3 linked regions of the Ovis aries genome follow. The protein of the gene in region 1 purifies or fractionates together with the protein of each later gene. This does not show direct contact. Links are inferred from orthologs where the notes say so. Each region holds a gene or a part of one and is shown on either strand. Other genes may lie near its edges.

Region 1 (8,287 bases):
CAGACTTTGACAATATTTGAATACTTGATAATCAGTCTCTTATTATATCATAAATGATTCAGAATAGACTCATCTTATCCATAATCTACTCTGTAACTAAATATGAAGCTTCTGTGCTTATCCAGATACTTACTACTCAGGGCTTCCCTGGTGGTGCAGAGGTTAAAGCGTCTGCCTGCAATGTGGGAAGCTGGGTTTGATCCCTGGGTCGGGAAGATCCCCTGGAGAAGGAAATAGCAACCCACTCCAATATTCTCACCTGGAGAATCCCACGGACAGAGGAGCTTGGTGGGCTACAGTCAACAGGTCGCAAAGAGTCGGACACGACTGAGCGACTTCACTTTCACTTTTCTTTAAAGATATTCTATTAGTCACTCACACACTACTCAATTAAGCACTAACATCTGCAAGGGAAAAATAATCATTGCCAGGAGTACCCTAAGGTATCCAAAATATTAATATTTTATTCAGTTTTAAATCAAGGAGTTGTCTACAGCTTTTCTCATTTAAATAAACTAGAACTGGCAAAAAATTGTTAAGCCATAATTTTACAACCCTAAATAGCATAATGATGGTTCAGTGTACATAAAAAGATTATTAACTAAATAGAATGCTCCCAGCTTGAATTAACACTAGCTTTATCAACAAATACATGTTCTAGTCAAAAGGGTGATGGATTTGAATGAGAAGTGTATATGCCAGAAAGAGAAAAAAGAGCAAAATAACAACAACAGAAAATATAAATTCATTTAAGAATGAGAAGCTTTTAGAAGATGAAGATAAAGTCTTTTTACATATGTTTACTAAATATACTTTAATAATAATGGTGCATGAACATAAACTACACCTTTAAAAAGTCTCAAATTGAAACTCAAACTGAAATTTTATAGTGTCAATGTTATTTCACAAAGCATATATAAAATAGTCACATAATAATGACTGATGAAACTTTTTTGAATTTCAAGACTTATTATACATGGAATATTAGCTCTTGATCTTGTACCTCACATATACATGGTTACCTGAGCCTATTATTCCACTTCCTGATTAAAAACAAACCAACCAAACCAAAACAAACCAAAAAAGCACTTCCTAACTTTATCAGAGTTTAGATGCCGCCCAAGAATTATAAAGTTATCCCCTGATACATGGAAAAACTATTTAGTATGAAGTTTCGGGTACTGACCTTGGCATCTTCTATATATAAACACTGAGTTGAGAGGCACATATATTTGTAAACACAGAAAATAATTTTATGCATTTTGTACTCTAAGGATCTAATGCAGAATCTGGCATATAGCTGGTGCTCAGTTAATGTTGGATGAATGGGGAGGGAGGACAAATCTTCATGACTGCAGGAATACAGAAACCATTGAGTAGAAAACTCATGTTGCAGTAGGAAAACCAACAGTGGTTATACATTTGTGGCAAGAGATAACCCAAGCTATCCAGAAAGAAGGATCAGATATCAAGAACAAAAAGATAATTTTTCAGATGGCATACATGACTGACTCCCTTTTCTCTGATTGATAAAACAGACAGATAAAGAGAGCAGTTTCGATGACACATCCAAACACTCACTGGACATTTTTTTTTCTTTCTATTTTTGTTTCTTTTTTGGACTTTTAAGTAAACTCTTGGCCAGGAAGGGGGCAGGGCACAAATATTAAAAAACAGGGGCCAATTATCCCCAGAAAGCAGTACTTGATGAAAGAAAATGGTGGTATCGTCTTTGAAAATATAGTAGAGGGCAGGGGAAGCTATACTAGGTTATATAAACCAACACTAAAGTTGAACATTATTAAAATCTTACTATTTCAATAACTGAAATTTCCATATAACAAGGGACATCTAATCATAGCTCACAGAATTAAGAAATAGAAAATAAAAGGAAGCTTGACTTTTAAAAGATGGGATTTAACAGTCTATGAACAGCATGCTTTTCACGCCAAACACTTAAAATCTAAAATCCCTGACTTCTCTATCCTGCTTAAATAGTAAAAGGATATCATAAAAGAAAAATATTTAAGTTTTTTACACTACCTTTTTCTGTGCTCCCATTTATTTTAGGTAAGAAGTCATCAACTTGTATCCCTAGGATTAAGACAGTGTATCATTGCCTGATCAAAAAAAGTATTACTTTAAAACTGGTCTCAAGTGTAACCATGGCATTTTGTATTCCTACTGACATTAAGACTGACTGAACAGTTTAAATTTATTTTTACAAGAAGGGTTCAACTTGCCATTTTCTATCATCTTAGCGAAAAGCCTAGAACTGCTTAGTAACCTTTCGATAAACCTCAAAAGAAAAAGGATTCTGCTGTTCATGTGTTTTTCTTATTTAAATATCTCTAAGCAGACCATCTCAGATGTATAAATTTCATTCATTTCAAAGACTACACAATGGTGCCCACTGGTGGCAATCAAGCATATTTTTAAAGGAAATTTTCTGAAAGAGGGTAGATACTTTACACCTAATATGTAAAACATCCCTCTTAAAGAAAGCAAGTACACAATGTGAGATAGTAAACAAAAATTTAATGATAAAAATTCAGCTTTAAGTAAGAAATCTGGTGACACCTACCTAAGCTGCTGCATTCTTTAAGAGTTTTCTCTTGAAGATGTTCTAACCGTACTGTAAATAAAAGTCCAAGAAAAAGATATTTCACAGATAAAAAGAAAGAAAAAATTAAATCAGATCAATTTCTGGATTAGCTAACTTACCTTGTAAAGCTGTTAGCCTTTCATTGGTAAAGTCATTATCAGCTTGCAAAGCTTCTATTTTTGCTTGGAGCTCCTGTTCTTTTTCTTCCATTTCATCTATCTTATGTTGTAATTCTTTTTTCTCAGCTTGTCCCTTCTGTTGGATTTCTTCTTGTTTTCCCTCTGCTATCTGTTGAAAATGAAAAAAAAAAATCCAGCTATTTAATAAAATCTGACCTTGTTTTAAGATGTCTAAAACAGGACTCCTTTTATTCATGTAAATGATGTCAAAAGTGATATGCACTGTGTCATCCCTCTGTATCAACTGAGAGAGAAAAACTTGTAGCAAGCAAACAAACACAATACATACATAGATTATAAGGGTCAAAATGAAAACCTCATTTTTCAAGATAGAAATATAGTTTTCCCTGAAATTACTATTGTTTCAATTAGCTTTTAAGTTCTACAGTGTAGCTTATTCTGAAATTTTAAACAAAATTACTTTTAGCTAAAGGAATCAAGCACTTTTTTAAATGACTTCTTTTTAACAAGTCTAATAGTTAAAGCTATATAGGTTAACCATTCACACGAATGGGAGGTATGTTCTGGTCTTCTATTAACAAATGGGTATCTTCTGGCCACTCAATCTATGGTGTGAATTACATAAAGACGGGTCTTCACAAACTCAGTTCTAACATTTTACATGACCAAGACGGCGTTACGTGTGATCTGGTCTGTCCTTATCCTAAATATCCTATAGCTACAGGGAGCTGCAGTCCACGCATAGGCTATGGCCTCCTGGAAGGAATCACGCGAAAGTTCTCTCTAGGTTTGCTCCAGCACTAACTGAATTTGGGACACCTTAAAGAAAAGCAGGCCCTAGTTTTCCAAAAGTCTGAGTATCTTGGGTTTTGGTGATTCTTATCTATTTAATATATTTTTAAACTCATTATTTACTTTCATCCAAAGGAAATATGTCAACTTTTACAAACTTTTAATTATCACTGGTAATGGGATTTGGGTTAAACGGCAACTGATTTATACTATAAATTCATCAACAACTATTCAGCAATATCTAAATTCTTAAGCTATCCAGCATGTTAGGGATGATTAATTTCTATATTTCCAGTTTGAGAAATACATACCTTTAATTTATCAGATAAATCTTTAATCTCATTAACTGCACCATTATATTTATTGGCTAATTCTCTTAATTCTTCCTGAGTCCGTTCATTCATTTCTTTCAGATGGGTACATTCATCTTCAGTATTACTAAGACTTCGCTGTAATTCAAGTTTACAGATAATTAATTTAGAATAAATGCACATTCTAAATTCAATTTATACAAACTATAATTCTATGGACTGTTCTAAATCAGAATCTACTCTTGACTTTATATAAGGTTGAACTAAGTAACAGAAGAATTTCAATCTACCTCCGGTAGATGCTAAAACAGAAAATACAAAGGACTTGGAAAAACGAAACGTGGAAGGAGAGGCTGATCCTTCATATAATCATACTTTTTAAAGGTCACAGGGTATGAGTTTTGGTCTTGAAAATATTTTAAGCCTATCACTTCTTAAAAGCACATTTAATAATGTGCACACACAATCAACAAAATTAGAGGACAATTAGCATTCTTCTTTCTTTGCACATCATACTAATGATCTGACCATGAATCAGTCACTTTGAGACTGGGCTTCCTTGGTGGCTCAGACGGTAAAGTATCTGCCTGTGATGCGGGAGACCCAGGTTTGATCCTGGGGTTGGGAAGATCCCCTGGAGAAGCAAACAGTAACCCTCTCCAGGCACAATTCTCCTCTCTGGAGGAGGGGGAAGGTAAGAATAGTGGTGGAGCTCTCTGCCTTAAGACTGACTATCCTCAATCGGAAGAAAAACAAAATTATATGAAAGGAGGTCAATTCCCTGGCACATATCATGGTCCATTGTGTGGAGGTTGAAATCTAACCAAAGTGGAAATAGTAAAATTCCCTGGTTAGGCTTTTATTTCCTTAATCATTGACTAGGGACCATAAGTATCAGAGCTCATGTGGCTATGCTAAGAACTCCTAAAATGAAAATAGCATACTGTTCCTTCCCACCAGATAAGACAGGAAAAACTTCCTAGCTACATACTAATACCCAAGTTTGAAATGTCTTGAAATGCTAGCACTTTTAGGCTAAAACTGTAAAATCATAGTCTTGGTTAGTGTCTGTTAAGTTGAAATACCTCAACTTCCGACAGTTTTCTAACCACATCAATTTTCTCCTGAAGAACCCGCCTCAGGGACTCTTTGGCTGTAGTCTCATAGTTGTGTTTATCCTCCTGTAACGCTATAAGTTCCTTCCGTAAACTATCTTCTGTTTGATTCTAGGATTAAAAATATTTATAGTTATTTTTTTAAAGCATTTACCATTTGAAAAAAATAACACATTGTGATGTTCTCTGAGTTCTATATTAAGGTACCTCCAAACAGAAATTATGTCAACTCTGTATTAACTGAAGCTGTATATAAAAGTTGCATTAGTAAATTATGCTCTCACAAGCATATTAGCTCATACTTTCAAGAGAAAAAAGTCAAAGCTCACTGAAAATTTCTCCAAGTATACAAAATGAATGAACTATTCTATTAATACTTGCCATATTCTCTGAAAGCCACAATATTTACACTTATGGGCAAAAATAATCTCTTAACTTCTAAAGGGTGTCAAGCATTTTAACACAATAACTAAGCCAAAAGGAATAAGAGTACCCTGAGGAAAAAGCTGATCCCAAGTCTAAGGGAAGAGATGTACAAGATGAGTCTGGACTACCTTGTCTGATATGATAGCAGGAAGCTATTATCCAAGTCTGATAGGGTACTACCAGAAGAACTCAGGTGCCAACCTGAAGAAGTTCCCTGAATAAGGCCTCCCAAAGATGGGAGAACTGGGAATCAACAAGAAAAACAAAACAGGTTTAACCCATGCTATGTATTTAAATCTTATATGCAGGAAAAAAATACTTAATTGGTCATTCTTTGGTAGATGAAAAGGAGCCAAAACATCATTTTGAAATCCAGTAAATAAAGAGAGAAAAATCACTCATCCTTTTCTTCCTAAAGAAAATGTTCTTTAGGAAAATAAAATGGCTTATGAGAGAAGTTTCTCTTTATAGAAGTAATGCCTCTAGTAAATGAAGGAAAGATAGAATTACAAAGAATGAATATAGGAAAGGATAATCAAAGATCACTAGTATCTCACTACCACTCTGGTATTCTGGCCTGGAGAATTCCATGGACTGTATAAATTTATGGTGTAGAGGAGGAGCAAGAAGGTTTAAGTATCATTCCAGACTGAGGGAAATTGTACAGGGTGAAAGACCCAGTTTTTCCAACAAATATCAACTATGATGGAAAAAAGAGAATTCTATATGGGTATTCACTATATACAGTTTTTTCTACTTACATGTATGTGTGAAATTTCATGTAATGGTAAAAGATTTTTAAAATGGTGAAAATGTATAGATGTTTTTGAATGTATTCAAAATAACAATCAAACAAATGAAGCTACATAAAAACCAATGCATTTTTCTTTAGGTACTTGAGATGGATACTTACTTTGGAGCACGCTTGCAATTGGTTTCCCATAACCTCTAACCGTGATAAGAGTCTATCTTCATCTATTAAAGCCTGTTAAAGAAAAATGAAATATAAATAAAATCCCAGAGTAGTTATAAAATAACATATATCAAAAAGCTTGCTACTGCCAAAAAAAAGACCTAAAAATCACAAAGTTGACCAACATTCACTTTAAAATGCTAAATTTTCAATATTTGTTCATTAAGAAATAACTATGCCTTTGTCTGCTACATAATTTTAGTTTCAGTTTAATAACCATCTAAGGGATACTGAGCTGTGCTTAAACGCTTTATGAGTATAAAGGCAACTGGAATACCTGCCAACTGGTATCTGAAGCCTCTTGGGTAATGGCTAGCAGCCTCTGAAGCGTGGCTAACTTCTGTTCCAACATCTGTTCCCGATGTAAGGCCTCCTAATATTATAAATCACAAAAGAAATTCTAATAACCTCAGCACAATTCCTTTGACAAATAATCAATTATTAGCACATTCTGAAAACATTCTTGTTTCACATCCTACAGTGTATCTTGCTTTCAAACCTGATAAATCTACTTAGTATAATATATTTAGCCCACATCATTTTAACCCAGATGGTGCAGTGGTAAAGAATCCACCTGACAAGGCAGAAGCTGCAGGAAACACGGGTTCAATCCCTGGGTCAGGAAGATCCTCTGGAGAAGGAAATGGCAACCCATTCCAGTATCCTTGCCTGGAAAATCCCATGGTTAGAGGAGCCTGGCAGGCTAGCGTCCATGGAGTTGCAAAGAATAGGACGCAACTGAGTGCGCACAGGCACATACGCGCGCGCGCGCATGCACACACACACACACACACACACACACACACAGATCATTTTAGCCTATTTGTTGAGCTGTACTGTAAGTAGAGCTGTTAGGGGTGCTCTCGCTGCAACTTCCTCTGTAACAGGAAACAGGTCATCTGTTTTTGCTTCTTTAATTGTAATTCACAAGAATGAGTTTAAAAGAACAAAACCTAGTGCTTCCTTCGGCAGCACATATACTAAAATTGGAACGATACAGAGAAGATTAGCATGGCCCCTGTGCAAGGATGACACGCAAATTCGTGAAGTGTTCCATATTTTTAAGAAAGACCATGAGAAAATACTTGAGGAGATAATAGTTGAAACCTTCCCTAAAATGGGGAAGGAAATAATCACCCAAGTCCAAGAAACCCAGAGAGTACCAAACAGGATAAATCCAAGGCGAAACACCCCAAGACACATATTAATCAAATTAACAAAGATCAAACAGAAAGAACAAATATTAAAAGCAGCAAGGGAAAAACAAATAACACACAAGGGGATTCTCATAGGGATAACAGCTGATCTTTCAGCAGAAACTCTTCAGGCCAGGAGGGAATGGCAAGACATACTTAAAGTGATGAAAGAAAATAACCTACAGCCCAGATTACTGTACCCAGCAAGGATCTCATGCAAATGTGAAGGAGAAATCAAAAGCTTTACAGACAAGCAAAAGCTGAGAGAATTCAGTACCACCAAACCAGCTCTCCAATAAATGCTAAAGGATATTCTCTAGACAGGAAACACAAAAGGGTGTATAAACTCAAACCCAAAACAATAAAGTAAATGGCAACGGGATCATACTTATCAATAATTACCTTAAACGTAAATGGGTTGAATGCCCCAACCAAAAGACAAAGACTGGCTGAATGGATACAAAAACAAGACCCCTATATATGTTGTCTACAAGAGACCCACCTCAAAACAAGGGACACATACAGACTGAAAGTGAAGGGCTGGAAAAAGATATTCCATACAAATAGAGACCAAAAGAAAGCAGGAGTAGCAATACTCATATCAGATAAAATAGACTTTAAAACAAAGGCTGTGAAAAGAGACAAAGAAGGACACTACATAATGATCAAAGGATCAATCCAAGAAGATATAACAATTATAAATATATATGCACCCAACATAGGAGCACC
Region 2 (8,287 bases), on another chromosome or scaffold:
CCTATGGTAGAATAATAAAACTTAGTCATTCATCTCATTATGATAACTAAGCCAGTGCAAGTGTTAATAAATATTTGTTTGAATCAAAGCATCTCCTTTTTGGGAAAAATCAAAATCACAAACATTAATATGTATTAGTTAGAATTAATAACAAGTAACCAAACTGTTATTTCATGGAAGGCAAGAATCAGCACTTAGAAGAAGAATTTCATCTGCATAATGAAAAAGAATGGCTTACAGCTATCTTAAGATATGTTTAACTTGCTAATTAATAAAACAGCTGTAATGAATGGTAAAATCTAATGTGTTTTAGAAAACATTTGCTTCTGACATAGCTGCTACCACAAGGGACTAGTTACCTTCAGTATCTTATTCTTAAGCACTTGCTTGCCAGAGTATTCACTGTAGATCTTAAAAAATTTGTTAGGTTGTTAAACACAAGGGCCTTTTGGAATGTCTCAAGAACATACTTATTTTACCAATAATTTTAAGTCAGTTCATATTTGTACCTTAAAAAAACCTCTTAAATTACATATTCAAAATAAAATGTTTTTATAATGATATTAACAATAGATACATTTTATACTCAAAAGATTGCCACTTGACTATCCAAGGTTCCTTTTGGTTAGGAGATAAATAGCATAATTAGATAATATTAAAACTACATTTGTTAACTTATTATTATACTGTTTGACACAAGAGCTATTACTAATAGCTTCCTTAATATGGAAAGTTGAATTTACATGTTAAAGCAATTTACTAGATATTTATTTTTAGTAGAATTAATAATAAAAAATACCTAAAAGCACCAAGATGGAATAAATATTTTAAAGAATCTAAAAAGTGTTTTAATAATTAAGAAAGATAAAAATACATTATAACAGTCAATACTTCTTAAATAACACTCATTATAACTAATAAAAAATAGCTCATCATTATCCAATAGAGATAATGGCCTTGTAATCACAATCTATTCTAAAAATCAGTTTAAAATAAAATGTAAATGGTAAAGGACTATGCTATCTTTTCACAGCAGCTGCTAGCAAACACAGGGATCACAACTAGTAAGATGAACAGCAGAAACAACGTTGATTTCTAGCCAGTTCAGCTCTGTCTCTAAAAATGTTGTTGAGTGGTATGTGATGGAGGATGGGATGGGTGGGAAGGCAATATATATAGTATATTGTTTCTTTTCCTCCCCCCACCCCTTCGTGCTTCCATTAATAATCAGGAGTATCTATAGTCTGGATGAATTAGCCTCATTCAGAAGACAGTCTTAAAAACAAATCTAACTTTAGCTGTTTTGGGGTTTTTAAAAAGATTTTGGGGCATTTAATTTTCACTTTTGCAACATATACCAATATACAAGTTAGAAGAAATATTTCTTTGAAGCAGGTAACATTATAATTTTGAATAATTTGAATTGAATAGACTTACCTTTATTTCCCAAATAATGTTTACTTTTTAATACATATTTTAAGCTACTAGGGAAGAATGGAAGTTTAAAGACTAAATCAAACAGAAAATGACACATAACATGAAAAAAATAAGGAAAAGAAGAAAATGTCAAAAAGAGAAATATTCAATATCATGTAAGACACCTGTGATTTTTTAAAAATCTGAACACAAGTTAATTGATTGTTCTTTTTTCAAATTATATTTACAGAATGGGATTACCTTAGTGTGTTGCTCTTTTAACTTCATTATTATTCCTGGATCATCTTTTTTGCTAGCCATTAGCAATCTAAACATTTGCTCTCGATACTTGCTCATTATAAGTTCCAAGGCAGATTGATGTTCTTCCAGGGATGTACGTAATTCTATCAAGAGTAACAGTATATTTTATTTAAACTTGAGTTTAAAATGCACAATGTATTCTCTTCCACATCATATTTTTTAAAAAGCAACTTATAAAGGGGGTATTTCATAAAGAAAATATGAGGTACAAAAATCTAGCCATATGGAAATAAAGGACACCAAATGGAGTCCTTTATTAGTTTTCAAAATAACCATTTTAAGCTCATTTTTTTGAGAATCATTTTAACAACTACTGAACAACAACTGAGGGTCAGATCATGCTCTATATTAGGAATACCAAAAGGCCATAAAGTTCAGAGTTTAGTGGAGAAAACAAAACATAAATAATTATAACACAGTGTGGTAAGTGCAGAGTGGAACTCTACCCTAAAACATATAAACATATAAAAAGTCTGTGAGGAAAAATTGGTGGCGGCTTCACAGAAGTATAGTAGTGAGATGAATGTACATTCCTTCAGTTGAAAAATAAAGAACAGGGCAGTCTAAGCAGGGAGGCATGAAAGTGGATGGTATGTTCAGGAACCTGTTCAGGGTGGCAAGAGCAAAGGTCTCATGGAGAACGGAGGGATGGGAAGAATACGAAAAAGAAGGCTTAGAGTCAACTTTGAAGGCCTCTGGATAAGGAAACAGTACAGTGATGGTTCTTAAGCAAAAGAACAACATGACCAGATATGTTTTTGTAAAATCAGTCTGATGACTGTGCTGAAGATGGACTGGAGCGGAAAGAGACTGAAATCAAGGAGACCAATGAGAATACTTCAGGCCGGAGACTATAAACACCTAAGCAAGGGGCTGCAGAGAATGAAACTGAGTTATTTCACATGTAATAATTTAAGTGGTACAAATGGATATTGAAGGTGAGAGCCTAAGATGATTCCAAGTAAGGTAGACAAGCATTCATATGCAGGATAGGATAAAGAGAAATATATGTAATTGAAGCATAATGGACTAGCGAAAGGAACTTTAACTGGCTATTTTCCCATTTAAAAAATATTAACTGATCCAAATTCAATAGTGCAATTGGCGATTAAAGCTCACTTTTGAGATGCTATAATCAGTGATAATATAGCTTGCCTTTGTTCTCTTGTTGCAGTTCTCTGATCTGTCTGTTTTCTTGCTGGATTCCCATAACTAATGTGGACCGTGGCCGATGTCTTGCAACTTCATTAAGTTCTTGAATTTCTTCTTGATACTAATGAAAAGATTTTTTTCAAGACATAAGAGAATATATTTGAAAATACGTATCTTATATATGTGTATATATGTGTGTATATTTCATATTTCACAGCTCAACAATAAAAAGAAAAAGAACCCGATTAAAAAATGGGCAAATGACTAAGTTCTGAAGATGCAATGGACATCATGGTGTTTAAAGTTAACAATACTATATTATATATTTGGAATTTGACAAGAGAATACATCTTAAATATTCTCACCACATACAGTAATTACATAATTATGTGAGGTGACAGAAGTATTAACTAACCTCATGATTAGTAGGTAATGATTCCACAATATATACATGTGTATTGTATATCTTAAACTTACACCATGTTGTACATCAAGTATATCTCAATAAAGCTGAAAAAAATGGGCAAAGGATTTGAAGAGACATTTCTCTAAAGATGATACACAAATGGTCAATAAACACATGAAAGATACTTAACATCATTAGTCATTAAGGAAACACAGCTCAATGTAACAAGGGGATAGCACATGACAGCCACTAGGATGACCTTCAAGTATTAAAACAAGTAATAATAATGAGTTTAACAGAGGATGTGCAGAAATTGCTATCACCTATATATTGTTGATGGGAATGTAAAATGACATAGCTGTTTTGGAAAACAGATAGGCAGATCCCCAAAAAGTTAAACACAGAGGTATAAGACCCTTCTATTCTACAGCTAGGTATATACCCAAGAAAACTGAAAACAGATGTCCACATAGAAATGTATATACAAGTATTCACAGCAGTATTATACATAACTGCCCCAGAAGAAAAACAATCCAAATGTTCATCAACCAATGAATAGAAAAACACAAGGTGCTATATCCTTACAATGAATATTATTAACATTTAGCAATAAAAAGGAATGAAGTACTGATACATAATAGAACATAGATGAAACTGAAAACTTAAAAAACCAGTCACAGTCAGTCACATATGGTACTATTTATTCCGTTCATACGATACGTTTAAAACAGGCAAACCTATAGACTGACAGATTCATGGTTGCCAGGAACCAGGGAAAGGGAGACTGAGGGAGCAGCTTTATGGGTAATGAAGTGTTCTAAAATTAACAGTGATTATGGTTGCAGAGCATGTGAATATACTAAAATTCAATCAACTGCACCCTTCAAAAGGGTGAACTGTAGGGGACTTCCTTGGTGGCCCAGTGGTTAAAACTCCATGCTTCCAGCAGATGTGGGTTCGTTTTGTGGTTGGGGAACTAAGATCCAGCATGCCATGTGGTGCAGCCAAAAAAATTTTTAAACAGGGTAAATTTTATGGTATGGTTCTTAACTCTGGTTGTCAACCCCCCCGCCTTTTTTACAACTCAGTACAAGACATGTATGTTCACTGGAATGCATGAGTCAAGCTAGACAGGGAGGTATGTAACGTGTTCAGGGCAGCAGAACTGCAAAACAAAATATGGGGCTGGCCAAAAAGTTTAGGCTTTCCCATAAGATGTCATGGAAAAGTCCACATGAACTTTTCGGCTAATCCAGTAGGTAAACTTGCTTCACTTTTTCAGCAACTTTGTTAAAATCAGTACCCCCAGGTTGCTGTCTCCTTTTACAAAAGAGATGTGCTTCATGAGACTAAGCTATAAATATAATTTTCCTACAGTGATTTCCATCATAGTTTCAGAGATGCTATAGTTCTCTTAAAGTTAAAATCTTAACTTAAAGTTAAAATCAGAAGAGGGCTTAAAATAGTAGTTCAACTTCACAGCCCACTGGAAAGCTCTTATACACAATGGTAAGGATAAGAAGAAGTGAAGCCCTGTTCATTCCTTAAGGTAGCAAGTATAAACAAATAGGGCTTCTCAGGTGGCTCAGTGGTGAAGAATCCACCTGCCAATGCAGGAAATGCAAGTTCAATTCCTGGGTTGGGAAGATCCCCTGGAGTAGGAAATGGCAACCCACTCCAGTATTCTTGCCTAGAAAATCCCACAGACAGAGGAGCCTGGTGGGTTATAGTCTATGGTGTCACAAAGAGTTGGACACGACTGAGCACGCACACACACACACAAATGCAGTAACTGCAAAAGGTGAAAAGAAGATATTGCTTTGCATCATCTTCAAAAACTATTTTATTATTAAACAGCACCACCAAAATATTCTCATTAAAATATTTCTACATTATAAAAATAGGAGACAGAACAAAGAATGTGTCACTATTAGTAAAAGATATTATCTTGCCTTTGTCAAATGTATTTAGACCTAAAAAAATTAATGTACTTTCCAAACTCAAATCTGCATCACTGTAGGAAATTAAGTGATCAAATCTATGGTTTTAGAAGATATATATATACATACATACATGTCAGTTGACCTTGACAAAATTATATTTCAATCTAAAGTAAACTAAGACATATAAGTCAACTACTTTTAAACTTCAGAAAACATTAAAAATAAAATACTAGTTAAGCAGAAGTTTGTAATAAAAGCAACACATAAATGTCAGTGACGGTCTTTTAAAAATAGAATCAACAGGGGGAAAAAAAAATCAAACCTGCTTCATAGCCTCTACTCGCTTATTGAGAGCAGTGGTTTGCTCAATCAAAGATTCTGCTGCATCGTCGTGGTCTCTCAACCTTTCAACAAGGGCTTTAGCGTCAGCAAGTGCCTTCTCAATGGTGCAACTCATTTCTAAAGGAATACACAGGGTTAAAAACGAAAAACAGATTCAAAAGAAAGCTGGCATATCAATCTTATTCTAGTTCCACTTTAACACACATTATGCTTAAGCTATATTTGTTACTGAATCGTTCACTGTCTCAGGATGAAAACCATCTAAGAACACATGTGGTTTTGATCCTGTTAAGATGGAACAAACTTGAAAGTGATTTTATAATATTCAAGAAATTATACACAACATATATAAATATATATAATTATATACTACATATATACATATATGTGTTTATATATACACATTATATATATATGTATGTGTGTGTATATATATATATGTATGTATGTATGTATGTATGTATATATATATACACACATAGGGCTTCCCTGGTGGCTCAGAGTTTAAAGCGTCTGCCTCCAGTGCGGGAGACCTGGGTTGGGAAGATCCCCTGGAGAAAGAAATGGCAACCCACTCCAGTATTCTTGCCTGGAGAATCCCATGGACTGAGGAGCCTGGTGGGCTGCAGTCCCCGGAGTCACAAAGAGTCGGACACGACTGAGTGACTTTACTTACTTTACATATATATATATATACATATATACATGTATATATGTATATATATATATATATATATAAGTTTGAGAACAAAATCAGAACGTATTTAAAACACCCTGAATATACAGTGGGGACAAAAGTGTACATTCACTAAATACATTTTATGTTATATAGACTCCTCTATTCATAGGATTCTTCAGGCAAGAATAGTGGAGTGGGTTGCCATTCCCTTCTGCAGGGGACCTTCTCAACCTAGGGATCAAACCCATGTCTCCCGCGGCTCCCACATTGTAGGTGGATTCTTCAGCGCACTGAAGAACTGATGCTTTTGAACTGTGGTGTTAGAGAAGACTCTTGACTTGGACTGCAAGGTGATCAAATCAGTCAATCCTGAATATTCACTGGAAGGACTGATGCTGAAGTTGAAAACTCCAATACTTTGGCCACCTGATGGGAAGAAGTGACTCACTGGAAAAGACCCTGATGCTGGGAAACATTGAAGGCAGGAGAAGGGGACAACAGAGGATGAGATGGTTGGATGGCATCACCGACTCGATGGACGTGAGTTTGAGCAAGCTCCGGGAGTTGGTGATGGACAGAGAAGCCTGGCAGCTGCAGTCCACGGGGTTGCAAAGAGTCGGACAAGACTGAGCAACTGAACTGAATGTTATATAGAAATTGCACTCTTCGTGAGGGCAATCCCTATCTTGCCATTTGTGAAAAAAGGTCATTTTATTATTTTGTATTCTGCAGTCAGTGACTGTCAGGTCTCCGACCATATGACCCCTCCTAGCCTCCGCTTGGTCAGGTGACCTCAGACACCATCCACAAACGTACACTACTAACCAGGCAAAGCGGCCTCTACGTGTCATGCTACACTAAAGGATCAACCTCCTTCTGGAGGAACTTCAGCTTCTCATAGGAAAATTCTCAGTAATTCTAACTCTCGCACTTTCCTTAGTAAATGGCAAAGGAAGTGCTAACTTAGAGCAACACTGGCCATTACGGGAAGCTTCTGATACGTTAAAGTCAGTGACTCAAATGTATAAAAGAGGCTGAAAGGCCAGGAGACAAAACATAACACAGCCAACAGTTAGCTTCTTCAACTGATACGCCGAGACCTCAAAACAAAATTTTTATTTTAAAATCTCTCAAAAACTTTAACATTCTGACACTGATCACTCTTGAATTTTTCTCTTTCTACTGTTTTGCCTTATTTTCTGTTAATATACGAGCCACCCTTTACGATTTTCTCAAAAAATAAAATTACTTTGTAATGTTTCTATGTCATAAGCCAAATCTATAGCAATTAAATTAAAACTCATGTGTAGAACAAAGTTAAGGGCTATAATTAAGGATTTTCACCAAGTTTAGGAAGACAGAATATAGGTCTTTTTAAGATACTACTACATGGGACTCGTTAGGTTAATTGTTAGCCCCTCAGATACAGAAAAATGCAGCAAGAGATTTAAATAACCCAACTGTGTAACATTTTAAAAGAAAGAAAATACAACACATCCCACCATTTTAGCAGGCTTTCATTAAGATTATACCTAGCAAAGATTAAAAATTGCAAATTAAATAAAGATGAAAAAAATTCAAACAGTATTCTTGGTTGTACCCAACAGCTGAAGCAGAGAGTATATTGTCCTGTTTTTATAAACAGGTTCAAAGCTGAATAAAAAGATTTAATCAAAATAAAATAAAACTGCCAATTTATAAAATGTTCCCTATATGACCAGACATTTCCAGAGATCTTTAAGAATTAAGCTGGAAATTAATACAACTTCTGTCTCTCTAGATAAAACAACCAAAATATTTGTCTTCAAAGATTTAGGAGATTTAGATAAGGGCACTTCAAAATACAACAGCAAAAGGGGCCACTAAAGGAACCAATTCTTACTGTAGGTTAAAACACGAAAGGACAGTCATTAAAATCTATCTAAGATGTCCTCCAACAAGGCCTTGCCCTTCTGGAATTACCTAAAATTAGAGCTAGGCAACAGTACAGCTTTCTCCAGTATTCTTGCCTAGAGAATCCCAGGGATG
Region 3 (8,287 bases), on another chromosome or scaffold:
TTTCATTTTTGTATAATGTGAACGTTTGCCCCGTAAAAGGGTAATTGTCAGTAATCTCAAACACAGCTGTTTAAACACGTATTTCTATAATTTTAAAATAATACAATTTATTTTGATAATCATATGCTACACTTCTATAACCTGGTTGGAACCTAAGCAGACTGACTCCAAGGACTTCTCTGGTGCTTTCCAATCATAGAGATTCATAATGTCGATCTAATCAGGTGATTGAAAAAAAGAATATTTGTTTCTGCTGTTTGGAAGAGGCCTGGTAAAGGACATCCTATATATTGGATGTCAGTAGGTAAGAGGCAAAATAGCATTGTGGTTGAAGCTGGGAGTGAGATGGTACACCCAGAACCCTCAGCCTGCTGTTTTGATACCCTCTTTCCGCTTCAAGGACTCCCAGACTCATCTCTGCTAAACCCATTGTTACTCTAAAGAGAGTGAGTTTGAAAACTGCTATATTACCAGCCACATTTTAACCATGAGGAAGTTGAGGTCAAGAGTCTCTGAGTCTTGTCCTTAGTCATTGACAGAGTCTGAATTAGGGTCTTGTCGCTCATTTATGGGGCAATAATAGTATTTCAGTTCTATTTTCTGGAGTGTGCTTCGCACAACTGAATTAAGATTACTGGCAATTAAAATTTATTTTGTATCCATTTTAGGAGGGATAACTTGCCATGGAAATTTTGTTGATAACATGTATTTTTTTTAAGACTGAAATTTAACCATGTGTGTCATTAGCATGGATAGCTATGGCTATTTGTATCACTGACACATATAGATAAATTTTGATATATATTGTTACTGCTATTAATTGTTTGACAAATTGGTAGATAAAATTGAGCCAAAATAAAAGTACAGCATATTGTGCAGTTATTATTTTACTTTCTCATACTTAAGGTGAATATCCTCTTCTCTCATTATTTTAACAATACTTTTCAGTAAACCTGTATCAAATACTTAACTGTCTTAGCACTGTACAAAATGCTGTGTGAGAAAGAGCTCTTGCCAGATGACAAATGTCTAGATATTTTTGTATGTACCAGCAGACCTAGGTTTGACTTGCCAACAGTTTGCTTTGTGACCTTGGTAAGTTGCTTAGCTTCTGTGACTCTAGTTTCTGCCTGTGAAGATGAGGGTAACAGTTGTGAATTGAAAATGGTATACATAGTGCCTAGCACAGAATCTAGCATCACAGCACATAAAGCATTGTGAAATAAGATTAGTGTTTTCCCTCTATGAAGTTGAATAGGAAAAATGATATGATTAATGTTTTTGTTTGACTACATTTGAGCTTATGCAAATACTTTATAAAATTAGTTCTTAGGATACTTTTCAATTAATGAATAACTAGTGAAAACTGGATTTAATAGTCCAGAAATCTCTGCATTTATCTCTTTATCCTTATCTATATTTGAATATTCATAGGTGAGGGTTTGTAAAGGTTGGTTTTGATGATGGCCTCAAAATAGCTTTTCCAGGGTTTCCAGTCTGGAGCAGACTGAACATACAGAATAGGAATTTCCTTCCTGCAGTATGTTTGTATAAACATAATTACACAGATTTGGGTGACAGAAGTTCTACTGTCCTATGCAAGTTTTTTGTAAGATGTATTACATTTCTTCTGATGCCTCTTGCCCTTTTCAGCATGTGTTCCCCAAATTTGCCCCACTAAATACATGCAAGTTGCTAAAATTCCTTCCTACTCTCTCCATCCTATATGTCTCTTATCGCAGAATTCATAAACTCCAAACTCTGCATGTGCTTAGTTGCTCCGTTGTGTCCATCTCTTTGTGACCCCATAGACTGTAGCGTGACAGGCTCCTCTGTCCATGGGGATTCTCCAGACAAGAATACTGGAGTCTGTTGCCATGCACTTCTCCAGGGGATCTTCCCAACCCAGGGATGCACTACAATTGTTTTACCCCTCAGGTTTTCCTCAGTTTTTTAATTTGTTTAATTGTCTGAAGTATTGTGTGTGTGTGTGTGTGTGTGTGTGTGTGTGTGTGCACGCGCATGTGCGCTGGTATTTTCTCTTCAGGACAGAAACCCTCAGATTGTTAACTACCTTCTCTGGCGCAAACCTTAGTGCTGTAAATGAAGATGCTGTTCTGTGTACATACAGGTCATCCAATATTTGACATAAATTGCTGCAGATTATCTTAGAGAAGGCCAGGCCTAGGGACAGACTATCTTGGTCTTTATAAAGCTCTGTGGCAAACAGTGGATCAAAGCTCAACTGTAGGTTCTGAGTTCCCAAACAGTAGTTTCCAAACCTGGTTCATCAGCAGAATCATGTGGGAAGCTTTTTTTCTCTTTTGAAGTACAGATTCCCAATAGTCCATAAAGTACACTACAAAATATGGTTGTCTATAAAGAGCTGTTTGATTACTGTAATTTGCTTTATTGTATTCCTTTTGAATAAGCTTACTTCAGACCCACAGGGGTTTGAAGAATCTTCCATATCCAGAGATTGGACATTTTAAAATTTGTTGAAATTGTCATTTTTCTCACATAATAGGATGGTTGAACGACACTGTCATTAAGCAGTAGGGGGCTTAATATCTGTCACAGCAATACAGGGATACAGCTTTCTTGAAAACATAAAGGAACAGTTAATGTAACTAAAAATTGTTATTACTAGAGGTCAAAAAAAAAGAGTGGACAGGTATAATTTCTATGTAAACTTACTGTCCTTTTTGAATATCTAATGTTTTAATGTTTCAGCCTGTTACCGATGTGTGACTTACAAGAGGAAATAAGGAAATATTTATTGAAATATTGAATTAGAAGGTCATTACTTCTGCAGAATAAGCTAAAATGCTTTTTTACACCAAAAGCTTTTATATTTGTAATTTTTAGAATTTCCATATGCTTATTTACTAAAAATAAACTGTGAAACAGAAAAATCTGGACATGGAGCTTTTGGGTTTTCTTTAAATAGTTTAGCTGAAATGTTTTAAGTATGAAATAACTAAAATCTGACATTTGTGATTAAAAGGTAGGTAATAAAAGGTTTGTGTTTTGGGTAGAATAGATTGATGTTTTACTAATTCATGTCTTTACACTTGCATTGCATTTGAACAGCAAAATTTGTAGCAGTTAACAGCTAAGAGAATGGATATGAAAAAGAGAAGATTTGTCTTAGAGACTGAGAGGCTGTTTGAGAATGCAGAATTACAATAAGTTCAGTTTGCTAGAATATTGCTATGAAGTTAGAACACAGAAATTGAAAAGGGCATAGATAGAAAAGATGAGAATTTTTAAAAATGATACAGGGACAGGAAGAAAAGTCAACTCAAATGAGAATGATTGATTTCTTCTCTCTTTAGAAAGGGGAGAAAAATGCTGATGCATATGTAGTGAAAGGATGATTGTTGGAAAGGTTAAGGTAAAAGAATATTCTGATATTGTCTCTCCCAGAAATATAAATATATTTCCTAAGGAAAATAGTGACAGCAAAGATTTGAAAGAGGAGACTATGTGGTTGTTAGAGAGGAGGCTAGATAAATGTGTCTTAAGGGAGAATAGCTACATCTGAGGAGGAAATATTTTGAACATCGAAACTATCAGGTCTATAATTTGAAGTGTTTTAAATGCAGGAGTGAATTACATGTAATAGCAAAATTTCATATAATTGTTCATGAGATAGCAAAAGTGAATAATACAGTCGCTCAAATTTACCTACATGAAAAAGGAGAAGTCAAAACAGGAAAAGATGAGAGTCAGAGGTCTCTTATAAATTTGAGTAGGTAATGCTGAATGAAATGAAAATGTTTGGGGAAAGTTGATGTTAATTGTGTAGTGTTTCCTCAGCAGTGCAAGAGTAGCTGGGATCACAGGAGGATACAGGCTAAATCCCCCACTTAACCAGCCAGTCAAATATTTGGCTTGATACAGTGTTCATATGGTAATTAAGTATAGTGATTCTTAAACATAGCTGTGTATAGAGACTTCTTTCAATGAAACTGACTTTAAGAAGATTCTTTTTTTTTCCTCACCCAACAGGGATATAGCTAGTGCAATAAAAGAACTTCTTGATACAGTAAACAATGTCTTCAAGAAATATCAATACCAGAACCGCAGGGTAAGTTTAGTAGAAACCTTACAAGCTGCCACCTTAGATGTTGGTTTATATCTAGTTGTTTCATTAAATAATAAGACTGTTGAATTATTGAAAAATGGCTTTGTATCGTTAATGACTGGATGTGTCCTTGAATTTGAATGTGCTGTTAAATGTGTATTTAAGTGAATACTCCTAAAACTGATTATCTATAATATAAGGTATATTCTTAATTCTGTGTAATCTTCTGTCTCTGACTTTGGCCTTTGTGTTACTTTGCTTTTCTTACTTGTTTTTTATTTTTTTATTATTATTTTTGATGTCTGTAGGCACTCGAACACCAAAAGAAAGAATTCGTAAAGTACTCTAAAAGTTTCAGTGATACTCTGAAAACCTATTTTAAGGATGGCAAGTAAGTATTATCATTTATCCCCCTTTTAAAATTATAAAATTATGTGGCTTTCTATAATACTGAAATCATATATATTTAACTCTTTTACTATATTGTTAAAGCCAACTACTAAGATAGACTGTTACAAATGCCTTTCAAAGGGGGTGTTTGATAATCCAGCCATGACTGCAGTTTGGAGCTGCAGTTGCAGACTTTCTCTGAAAAGGGCCAGATGGCGGATATTTTAACTTGGTGAGCTTGTGGCAGCTCGAGCACTTCACCTCTGCTGCTGTAGTGCAGAAGCAGCTGTCGACAGTATGGAAACAAGTGAGCATTTTTGTGGCTGTGGCTGTGTTCTAATAAAAACTTACTTTATAGACACTGAATTGAATAATTTTCAACTGTCTCATAATATTATTGTGATTTTTTAAAAATTTTTACTGTTTAAAAATGTAGAAGTATCCCTAGCTTTCAGGCCGTACAGTAGTGAGATTTGGCTTACTGGGCTACTTTACCAACCCCTGAAGCAGTGATTCTCAAACTTTACTAGCCTCAGAGTCATCTGGAGGCTTGTTATAGACAAAATATTTTTGGGTCCTACCCAGAGTTTCTGATTCTGTCAGTCTGGGGTGGGCCCAGGAAGTAACATTTCTAAGAAATTTCTAGATGATATGGATGCTACAGGTCTGTTAAGAACTGTTATACTATAGTTAAAACGGTGGTTCTCAATCCATTTTGCACATTAAAATCATTTATATTCAATGTTTTAAAATCCCAGTGCCTTGACCCCACCTTCAGAGCTTCTGATTCCATTGGCTTGAGTGGGGCCAGGGTTCAGGTGTTTTTTAAAAGTACTTCATGTGTTTTTAAAGGGCCACAAAAAGTGTCCTAGAAGAGAGGCTTTCTGTAAGACAGAAAGTATACTAAAAAGGTAAATTAGATATTTTAAAATTTACATACACTTAGCTACAGAACGTTCTAGAAAACCAAGAAATACTGTGTGATTTATGTATAATACACATGTACATACAATGTATAAGCTGATCCGAAGGCTTTGTCTTCTGCAGCCTCATACTTTATAGAGAATTCTTTGTACCTCAAATAGAATTTTGTGGACAGGACCATTTTCTATCAGTGCTTGAAGCAGAAGAATAAATATGATTATTTCAGCTATCGTTGGCAGGGAGCTTTAACATCCTGTCCCACCACTGACATTTTAAGATCCCAATATCCATGTCAGACTATTACAGTATTATTGTAGTAATATTAAAAAGTAATAAAATATATTAGAATGGTATAATGATTTTAAAAGTCATTTTTAATAGTTCAAACAGATTGAAATATTTCCATTTTATTATAAATTAAAGATATTGAGCTAAATATTATTAATGATTTTGTGTTGTTTAATACTGCTACTCAGATTGTGTAAAGGAAAATGAACCTTGTTGATTTAATTTAATAAGCTGGCAGGTGTGTTCTGAAAATAAACTTATACCTGTTTTTCCTTGATCTCCTCTGCTAAGTCCAAATAACCAAAAAGCACATTAAAAGAATAATTTGCATTAAGGAGATTATTTATGATACTGATTAATTAAGAACAACATGGGATAAGGACATTAAAAGGTAGTAATTCATTTAGAGCATAACTTTGATTAATGTAAAATTATTTACTCTCATCCCTGTTTGTACAGTAGAATCCCTTGGGTTCAGTTTTTAAAAATCTTTGTCCTTGGTCCCAAAGTTATTTTTAACAGCTTAAACAGGCATATGGATTATTCAGGCTCCCTGCTACTACTTTTTCTCCATTCAGCAGCTTCTTTAATTTACCATTATTTGCATATGAATAACATACCACGTTTTCTCCCTGTGTCCTCAAAGTTGAAAATTATTAATAGAGCCTGATCTTTAAGCCATTTTTCAATAGGAGGATGAATTTGCATTGATTCATTTAATTTTTCCTAGGCCCCCTTTGTTGAGGAATGCCTAAGATAAAGATATTGTCAGCCGTTCATATCCACAGATTCCAAATCCCTTTGTTATTGTTTAGTCGCTCAGTGTCCAACTATTTTGCCCCCCATGGACTGTAGCCCTCCAGACTCCTCTGTCCATGGGATTTCCCAAGCCAGAATGCTGGAGTGGGTAGCCTTCTCCCCAGAAGAAGGGGATCTTCCCAACCCAGACATCAAGCCAGCGTCTCCTGCATTGCAGGTGGGTTCTTTACCACTGAGCCACCTGGGAAACTCCAAATGCCTGGATTCAACCAGTTGAAAATTTTTGGAGAAAAAAATTCCAGAAAGTTTCATGGGATTTATATTGTACTTCAGCTATTTACATTGCATTTGCACTATATTAGGAATAAGTAATCTAGAGATAATTTAAAGTATACTGGAGGATGTGCCTAGGTTATGTGCAAACATTACACCATTTTATATAAGGGACTTGAGCATCCACAGATTCTGGTTTCTGAGGGAACTCCTGGAACCAGTCCTGTGATACTGAGGGGTGATTGTACAAGCTTTAGCTATGCTCCTGAGAAACTGATAAGGCCACACAGGGGGACTAGCATCAGCTCTGTGCTCCAGATCACATGAGGATGGGCTGATAGAAAATGTGGTTCAGAATGAAGTAATTTTTAAGAACATATCTTTACACATTGTCAACTCTTAAATATTGAAACCACATGATTATTTTGTTTTAAAAGTACATTAATTCTAAAAGTAATTCAGTTAATTTTTTCTTGAAGGAAGGTAAGGATAGGGATGAATCAGATTCAAAGTAATGAACCTTTTCCCAAGCATCATCCCATTGATATACAAATTTTGAGACTGAATATGGTATTTTAGCAGGTCTTATTTTGATAACTTCTGTGAAACCACAGCTGGAGACTGCATTCTAATCCTCCTCTTTGGCCAGTTACATGTTCGACCTATAAAATGAATTCTGGTTGTTGAGGCACCACCCATCATTAGCAGCCCACCAACACCTTATTGCCAGCCAGGACCACTAGGGGGCAGTAACTCCTAGATAGTTTCCAATGATGCAGGACACTTCCAAGCTGGCATAAAAGTTGCTACTCAGTACTAATTTGCCTTTGTTGTTATGTTCCTAAATAGATTTTATTGCTGCTGCTAGTTGGGCATTTTAAGTATAAATATTTTTAAAGGATTAATTTTTTGGATAAAATTAATACTCTTTTCTCTTTTTTTTTGAAACAGGGCAATAAATGTGTTCATAAGTGCCAACCGACTAATTCATCAAACCAACTTGATACTTCAGACCTTCAAAACTGTGGCCTGAGAGTTGTATATGTTAAGAGATGTACTTCTCAGTGGCAGTATTGGACTGCCTTTATCTGTAAATTTTAAAGTTTGACTGTATAAATTATCAGTCCCTCCTGAAGGGATCTAATAATCCAGGATGTTGAATGGGATTATTGCCATCTTACACCATATTTTTGTAAAATGTAGCTTAATCATAATCTCACACTGAAGATTTTGCATCACTTTTGCTATTATCATTCTTTTAAGAATTATAAGCCAAAAGAATTTACGCCTTAATGTGTCATTATATAACATTCCTTAAAAGAATTGTAAATATTGGTGTTTGTTTCTGACATTTTAACTTGAAAGCGATATGCTGCAAGATAATGTATTTAACAATATTTGGTGGCAAATATTCAATAAATAGTTTACATCTGTTAAACATTTCTTTACTTGAAAAAATGCATATATATATGTGAATATATATATGATCAGAAGACCAAGACGACTTGGTGTAATGTCTAAAGAACTTCTAAGGGGAGCTTATTAGCAGTTTATCAGATAATA

The links. Proteins that work in one complex are often made in the same cells at the same time.
Region 2: the proteins of SLMAP (region 1) and FGFR1OP2 purify together in Homo sapiens (affinity purification with mass spectrometry; 3 studies listed by BioGRID and IntAct, with this or other methods). This does not show direct contact. The link is inferred for Ovis aries from reciprocal best matches to the Homo sapiens genes SLMAP and FGFR1OP2.
Region 3: the proteins of SLMAP (region 1) and PDCD10 purify together in Homo sapiens (affinity purification with mass spectrometry; 3 studies listed by BioGRID and IntAct, counting the BioPlex papers as one, with this or other methods). This does not show direct contact. The link is inferred for Ovis aries from reciprocal best matches to the Homo sapiens genes SLMAP and PDCD10.

Annotation. Positions count from the first base shown.
Region 1 is NC_056072.1:43,482,353-43,490,639, forward strand, and holds part of SLMAP (sarcolemmal membrane-associated protein), read right to left. Parts: intron 7,426-8,287; exon of another isoform or gene 7,319-7,425; intron 6,736-7,318; coding exon 6,640-6,735; intron 6,375-6,639; coding exon 6,303-6,374; intron 5,075-6,302; coding exon 4,934-5,074; intron 3,987-4,933; coding exon 3,849-3,986; intron 2,894-3,848; coding exon 2,725-2,893; intron 2,636-2,724; coding exon 2,585-2,635; intron 2,095-2,584; coding exon 2,044-2,094; intron 1-2,043. UniProt on the Homo sapiens protein: Associates with the striatin-interacting phosphatase and kinase (STRIPAK) core complex, forming the extended (SIKE1:SLMAP)STRIPAK complex.
Region 2 is NC_056056.1:188,452,841-188,461,127, forward strand, and holds part of FGFR1OP2 (FGFR1 oncogene partner 2), read right to left. Parts: intron 5,698-8,287; 5' UTR 5,696-5,697; coding exon 5,561-5,695; intron 3,011-5,560; coding exon 2,893-3,010; intron 1,821-2,892; coding exon 1,678-1,820; intron 1-1,677. UniProt on the Homo sapiens protein: May be involved in wound healing pathway.
Region 3 is NC_056054.1:220,417,390-220,425,676, forward strand, and holds the end of PDCD10 (programmed cell death protein 10), read left to right. Parts: intron 1-4,014; coding exon 4,015-4,093; intron 4,094-4,398; coding exon 4,399-4,481; intron 4,482-6,547; coding exon of another isoform or gene 6,548-6,728; exon of another isoform or gene 6,729-7,627; intron 7,628-7,675; coding exon 7,676-7,757; 3' UTR 7,758-8,157; downstream 8,158-8,287. UniProt on the Homo sapiens protein: Promotes cell proliferation. Modulates apoptotic pathways. Increases mitogen-activated protein kinase activity and STK26 activity. Important for cell migration, and for normal structure and assembly of the Golgi complex.